Linked DNA regions of Drosophila melanogaster. The protein of the gene in region 2 purifies or fractionates together with the protein of the main gene of each other region. This does not show direct contact. Each region holds a gene or a part of one and is shown on either strand. Other genes may lie near its edges.

Region 1 (4,221 bases), on a different chromosome or scaffold from region 2:
AATTAATTTTCAAATGAAGTTCAGTTCAAAATGATCATATTTTTAGTAAGAATATTCCTGTACTCAAACATGTTTTAAACTATCTGAAGGTACTATCAGCACACGTATCTAAATGAGATACATGACACTTCTTTTTGCTGGCTTGGTACTTGACAATTACTTTCCTGATAACCCGCTCCCAAGTTTGAACTGCGAAACAAAGCTTAACGATTAAAATTCACTTAAACCTCCAACAATTTGACTTTCAAAACGCGTGCTGATTTCATAAGCATGCGACTGTAAACTAAAATCAGCAAGCAAATTTAAAATTTACACCAGCTGAGTTTTTAGCCTCAAAGCGCAGGTGCACTAACTAAACAAAAATAAATGTGACTTCTACAACTTATTTAGTGGGTTAAATAAGTCGATTAAATTCTCAACACACAACTGTTCAAAATGTATGCGATTCCGAAGATGCTCCACTTTTTGCCAAACTGTGAGCTGTAATTTAATAACAAAGTTGACTGGAAAAAGCTCATTCAGATGCCCCGCATTCCAATTACTCGATACAAAAGATTCAAGTGTTTTCATTTTATTCACTCGTATTGCAGTAGAGACGTCCAAGATTATAATGATCAGTGAATCTGTAGTTGATAAGCTTTTTTATAAAAAACAAAGACCGATCATGCCGGTTACAACTGAATGTAGCAGCCGTTACGTTAATATTAAGATACTTAAGGTAGACAATAGCAGATGGTCAGGCAATGGAGACCTAGTCCTTGGCGGGCACCTCAATGACGCGGGGCTTGTCGATGATGCGTGCGGTCTTATTGCCCTTCTCAACGATGCCGATGATCCAGGCCTGGTAGCCCTCCTGCTTCTCGATGTCCTTGCAATAAGCAGCGGCCTGCTCTCGCGGCAGGCAGATCAGTAATCCTCCCGAGGTCTCCGCCGAGTGGCCCTGCAGCAGCTGGAACATGTTGCCGCAGGCTTTGGCCACTGCAGCCATCTTGGCGATCACCGGCAGATTGTGGATAACAAAGGAGACATCCTTTTTCTGATGTGCAGCCAGGGTTTGAGCGTGGCCTAGTAGTCCGAATCCAGTAATATCGGTGGCTCCGTGGGCATTGTACTTGTGCATGAGGCGAGCGGCTACGCGGTTGAGGCGAGCCATAGAGTTCATCGCCCGGTGGTAGGCCTTGCGTACATCTTCTTCGGACACCACCAGCTTAATGCGGTTCCAGCGCTCCGGCTGGTCAATCCACTGGTGGGCATTCACGGCCACTTGGGTGCCCAGTGGCTTGGTTAGCACCAGTACATCCCCTACCACGGCATTATCTGGCACAATATACTCATTTGGCTGGCAAATGGTCGAGGCAACCCCACCAATGGTGCACCACGGATTGACCACGCTCTGGCCTCCAGTCACAGTGGTGCCTGCCTCCAAAGCGGAGTCCTTAAAGCCTCGCATTATCAGCGGAATGACCACGTCACGCTCCTTCTCTGTCATCTTGGTACTGACCGCCAACAGCATCAGCATGTTATCGCAATCTGTGACTCCCATGGCATACAAATCGCTGAGCACATTGGCGCACGCAATTTTGCCCATCATGTAGGGATCATCGACAATGGGGTAAAAGAAATCGGTGGTCTGCACCAGGCAGAGTCCGCCGTGTCGCAGCGGAATGACGGAGCAGTCCAGGCCAATACCGATGCGGGGAATGGCCACGTTGAGAAACTGCGGTTCCTGGTCCTGGGCAGAGTAGTCCTGCTGCAGGGCGGACACCAGCTTGGAGAGCACATCCTGCGGCACTTTGCAGCCGCGCCCCTTTAGATCTGCGAAGCGTGTAAGGCGGAAGGATGCATCCAAATCATGGGCCGTGGGATCGAATGGACGACGCAACTCGGCGTCGCCACCACCATGGAGCTCCAAATGGGCCGAGTTCAGCACATCAGCGGCGTAGCTCATCTTGCTTTATAGCTGTGGATGGGGGAGATGCAAAGAACAGAATGTAAGTAGCGGCTTTAACCGATTAACGCACTTTTGCCGCGCAATAAACACATAGTGGGCTACTCTATGCAGCGAGTAACTCGCGTTCTCCCCGGCCACCAATACCACAGCGCTCAGACGTGTATGTACACGGATTTTCTGCCGCGTGTGTGTAGCGCGGCCCGTGATTGGCTGCAGTCGCGATGGCGGCTAAAACGGGCGAAGTCAGTATTTCTCCCTGTCGACGAGGCGAGCAACGTGAACAATGCCCACTCATTTCAATTGCAAAATGCCAAAAAGTGCGCGCTTTGAATTGGCCATTTGGTTCGTTGCGTTCGTTTGTCTTTTGGTACTTACGTTTGCTTGTGCGATTGTACAAAGATAATTGTAGAGTAACGTTAGCAAATTATATTTATTTTGCGCCTGGTTTTTGCTTTTCCAACGAGCGAGATGTCACAACAGGGTTGTATTAGCGTGTGCGGCTGATTCGATATTTGGGATGCCGATTGTCTGAAGCGATGGTTCAACGGGGCTGCCAACTCGCCCGAAATCTATCGATTGTATTGTGCGCCAAGGGTAAAATAAATAAAAATATGTTAAAACCGCGGAATAAATGGGGGAACCGAAGTGGAAACTGTGGTTCACAGTGCTCTGACTTTCGGGAGCAGTTAATATAGTTGGCATTAATTCAATTAGAGCTCCAAAGTGCTGGTCACAAAGAGCGCACAAGAGCGGCCCATGAAAACCTGTTGCGCCAGCAGAGCGAAAAGTAAAAGTAGAAGAAACCATTTACCTTTGTTCGTTGATAAGACAAGTTAACTTTACTCCACATCCCAAAAAAAAACCCACCTCATTCAAGCGGAACATCGTTAAACAAAGAACTATAAGTTTCAGGAAATCGAAGCCCACACAAAAGACTTGAGCAGCGAACTTGGTTTTGGGCCATGGGATAAACTAAATTAAAACGGTGACGAAATCATTAAAACATGATTCAGCTACGCCTGCGCACTCTCGTTTTGCTGCACTTCATTGCCCTAGCCAGTTCGGAATATGTGTATGGCGAACCCGAATTCAAGTGTCCAAAAAAGTGAGTTATTCCAAATATTGTATATTACATATTTCTTCACTTATATGGTGTTTTTTTTTCAAATCAGATCAAAGGCCTTGTACCCCTGCGAATGTGTGAAGGGCAGCGATAATGGCCTCTACATTCGGTGCGAAAATACAAACTTGGCTACCTTATCCGTAGCCCTTCAGAATTTGGCCTCTTTTGGTATGCCCATCGAGGAGTTGACCATCTACAGAGGACATTTCGGTGTGTACTTCTACACGTCCTTTTAGTCTGTTAAGCTGAAGAATCAAATTCTCTTTCTAGTTCGTCTATATGGGCCACTATTTGCTCATATCAAAGCACGAATGCTGATCATAGAAGAAACACCATTGGCCACCATTGAGGATTATGTTTTCTATGGAGTAAATAATACTTTGGAGCAACTGCATTTACTTCGCACAAATCTAAGCCACGTTGGTTTACTAGGATTCGGCGTAAGAATTAAACAATATACCGATACCATCGTTATCTAAACGGGAAATTCTTTTTTCAGATTCTAGGAAAAGCTAAGGAACTCGTAATCGATGGCCATGCGTTCCAACAGCTACCCAAGGATCTATTTGCTGGCCAAGAGATCGCCAATAGTCTGGGAATCATACGTGTGACCAATGGTAACCTAAGTGATCTGCCTATTGAGACTTTCCAGCCATTGCGGAAACTAAAAACGCTCGACTTGCATGGAAATCAATTGGAGAATCTGAAACGAAACCAATTTAAGAATCTAAGAGAGTTGGAGGTCTTGGATATAAGTCACAACCAGATCAAAAAGCTGGAGGCACAGCACATAGCTGATCTGACAAAGCTGGGATGGTGCAACGTTTCTCATAATGCCCTAAGCGAACTTAGTCGCGGAACTTTTGCCAGAAACTCTGTGTTGAAGGTGCTCCATTTGTCCCACAACCAGATTGCACGCCTAGATGCGAATAGTTTTAGGGGTATGCGTTTCCTCCGTCGTCTTTTCCTCAGCGATAATGTGCTCACGGATATTGGTCGTGGTACTTTCGGCTCAATTGCCCGCATTGGAACTATTGATCTTGCACGCAACCGTCTTAAGAAGATCGAGTTCCAGATGTTTACCCAGATGAACTATGTGGAGGTACAATTGCTAATATAAAATTTGAAAAATTTAACTAATTGCTGC
Region 2 (3,406 bases):
ACTTGAATAGTTCGCCGTCAACATCCAAAAAAAGATTATATACTTTAGGCTCATGTTCACGAATTAGATATCATTGTAACAAATGGGGGGATATGTTTGTGTTTATGGGAAACTTGATCACATCAAACAAACAACGTAACGAGTTCAAAACATTCTTAAACACAACAAAACATTTGCACAACTAATACGTAATACTCAACACAACATTAACAAGGTTTCTGTAGATACGGCTTAAGAATAAATAAGAGTCTGTAACTAATTAATGTAACATAAAATATGTACTAAGTCTGATAGTAATGTAGCGTACGGATCGCTTAGCGCTAATACAAAATGTGAGAGTTAGTCGCAGTGTGGCCACGTACCACTTTCTACCTGTTGACCACTTTCATGGTCAAGATGTGTCAGCTGTTCCACCAGTTTTTTTCACTTTCAGTTTATAAAAATCTACGAAATTATATTTTCAAAATTTTCTAACACGCTTTTTTTTTTGAATTTTTTTGGCTTTGGAAAGACTTTTGAATGGAATAATGCGTTAATTAAAAGACGTTTGTTGTTTTATAACAGTAACATTTTAATACCATATTTATTCTCTAGCTATGCAGATTTTTCGTTCTCCAGTCGAACAAATCATCCACACTGCAATCTTCTTCGCTTGAACTCAATTCCGGATCGACCTCCATCTTGGGGTCTACTCTTCGCTTTTTACTAAGGAGTACTTTTTTCTGATCGTTAATTTTAATAAATCTCTTCCAGTTGTCGATCTGCTCGTCGATCTCCTTGATGTGTCGCTTGAGATTGATGTCCTCCTGCTCGTCGGCCACAATTTCACTGGATTCCGTGTCCGCCCGCTTGATCTCCTGCTGGAATCGCTGCCATTCCTCGTCCTGAAGGCGAGCGGCCTCCGATTTATTGGTCTTATCCTCGTCGAAGAACTTTTCTGGCAGTTTCTCGACAGTAGTTTCATTCTCAGGCTTGCTGCTCGCATTTCCCTGGGCAGTTTTCTCTTGAATGAGGGGAGGATGCTTTTCCTGGCTGCTCTGTGGAGTTTTATCTGGCAGTGTGCTGGAGTTTTTGGCAGGAGCTGAAGTCTTGGTGGACGGACCCGTAGGATCCTTGGGTGCAGTAGTGGTGACGGGTTTCTCCACCTTATTCTGCTTAGCCTGATCGACGTTCAGTTTGTGCTGCTTGGAATTTATATGCACCTTCCAGACGTTGGGTTTGATAGGAATCCTGCAAATAATGCAGGTCAAGATGCCCGAGGAGTCATACGTATAGTTAAGTTCAGTTAAGGAAACCAACTAGCTGGATATTTATTCGAAATTAAAAGTTATATTAGAAAACAACATGTTTTAGTAAACACCGGCTAGAAAGTGTAAACAACAATAGAATTTCAGTGGGTTTTTTGCTTTTGTAAAGGATATTTTGCCAATGGTGAATCCACAGTGACTGCTGGCTTTTTCGAAACGCTGAGTTTCTTTTGAAGGCGTTTTATATTCCCATTATTCATGTTGATTTTCAATATTCTTAGGTTTTTCAGCGGCTTCTGTCAATCATAGGAATTAAACTAGAGATGAGCGCAACGGCGATTATTTTGAACAAGACACAGAACAAATGGAATGGAGAGTTTGCTTATTTTTTTATGCTATGCAAATAAATGGAACAAAAAGTTATTCCAAAAAATTGTTTAGATGTATTTTAAATTATTTTGGAATACAACGAAAACGAGGCAAGTACAAATTTAAAAGCATTCAAAGTTACGTTGCCCTGGTCTTGTTATCGATTGCACTATCGATAGCGTATCTAAAACCGAGTTGGCAGTCTACCCGGCAATTTTTTTAGACTACGTGTCTAAGCGAAGAATGTGTCGTTGCATTTCAGATCGGTTATAATTTTCGAGTTACTGGCTGGAATTGGGACATGAATCGGACGCCGAAGATGCTGAACAGCAAGGTGGCTGGCTACAGCAGCCTAATCACCTTCGCCATCCTGCTAATCGCCTGGCTGGCCGGATTTTCCTCTCGCCTCTTCGCCGTCATCCGTTTCGAGTCGATTATCCATGAGTTTGATCCGTGGTTCAACTACCGGGCCACCGCCTACATGGTGCAGAATGGTTGGTACAACTTCCTCAACTGGTTCGACGAGCGCGCATGGTATCCGCTCGGCAGGATTGTGGGCGGTACCGTCTATCCCGGCCTGATGATTACGTCCGGCGGAATCCATTGGCTGCTGCACGTACTCAACATACCGGTCCATATTCGTGACATCTGCGTGTTCCTGGCGCCGATCTTCAGTGGCCTGACCTCCATCTCCACCTACCTGCTGACCAAGGAGCTGTGGTCCGCGGGCGCCGGCCTCTTCGCCGCCAGCTTCATCGCCATCGTGCCTGGCTACATCAGTAGGTCGGTGGCTGGATCGTACGATAACGAGGGCATTGCCATATTCGCCCTGCAGTTCACCTACTTCCTGTGGGTGCGCTCAGTGAAGACTGGATCCGTGTTCTGGTCGGCCGCAGCCGCTTTGTCCTACTTCTACATGGTGTCCGCCTGGGGTGGCTACGTGTTCATCATCAACCTGATACCCCTGCACGTCTTCGTACTGCTCATTATGGGCAGGTACTCGCCGCGTCTGCTGACCAGCTACAGCACCTTCTACATCCTGGGACTGCTGTTCTCCATGCAGATCCCCTTCGTGGGATTCCAACCGATACGCACCAGTGAACACATGGCTGCGCTGGGAGTGTTTGTGCTCCTTATGGCCGTGGCCACCTTGCGCCATTTGCAGTCCGTGCTGTCGCGCAACGAGTTCCGGAAGCTGTTCATCGTCGGCGGATTGCTGGTGGGCGTTGGCGTCTTTGTGGCCGTCGTGGTGCTCACCATGCTGGGCGTTGTGGCCCCGTGGAGTGGACGCTTCTACTCGCTGTGGGATACTGGCTACGCCAAGATCCACATTCCCATCATTGCATCCGTGTCGGAGCATCAGCCCACCACTTGGTTCTCGTTCTTCTTTGATCTGCACATCCTGGTGTGCGCCTTCCCAGTGGGAGTGTGGTACTGCATCAAGCAGATCAACGACGAGCGCGTTTTCGTGGTGCTGTACGCCATCAGTGCGGTTTACTTCGCTGGTGTGATGGTGCGTTTGATGTTGACCCTCACGCCGGTGGTGTGCATGCTGGCCGGAGTGGCCTTTTCGGGACTGTTGGATGTGTTCCTGCAAGAGGATTCGTCTAAGCGAATGGGCACAGCCATAAGCGCAGCCACCGAAGTGGATGAAGCTGAGGATTCCATTGAGAAGAAGACGCTGTACGACAAGGTGAGTTCTTACTAACACACATCCATGGGATTTGATTTTAAAATACATCGCATTTGCAGGCTGGCAAGCTGAAGCATCGTACTAAGCATGATGCCCA

The links. Proteins that work in one complex are often made in the same cells at the same time.
Region 1: the proteins of CG11839 (region 2) and Sps1 purify together in Drosophila melanogaster (affinity purification with mass spectrometry, with the first as the bait; one large-scale study listed by BioGRID). This does not show direct contact.

Annotation. Positions count from the first base shown.
Region 1 is NT_033778.4:14,268,215-14,272,435, forward strand, and holds Sps1 (selenophosphate synthetase 1), read right to left. Parts: upstream 2,445-4,221; 5' UTR 1,949-2,444; coding exon 752-1,948; 3' UTR 558-751; downstream 1-557. Other genes in the region: conv (convoluted), read left to right, coding at 2,956-3,056, 3,124-3,284, 3,345-3,514, 3,574-4,176.
Region 2 is NT_033777.3:25,068,066-25,071,471, reverse strand, and holds CG11839 (uncharacterized protein), read right to left. Parts: upstream 1,546-3,406; 5' UTR 1,508-1,545; coding exon 1,422-1,507; intron 1,270-1,421; coding exon 591-1,269; 3' UTR 558-590; downstream 1-557. Other genes in the region: CG11836 (uncharacterized protein), read right to left, coding at 1-54; Stt3B (catalytic subunit 3B of the oligosaccharyltransferase complex), read left to right, coding at 1,918-3,309, 3,369-3,406.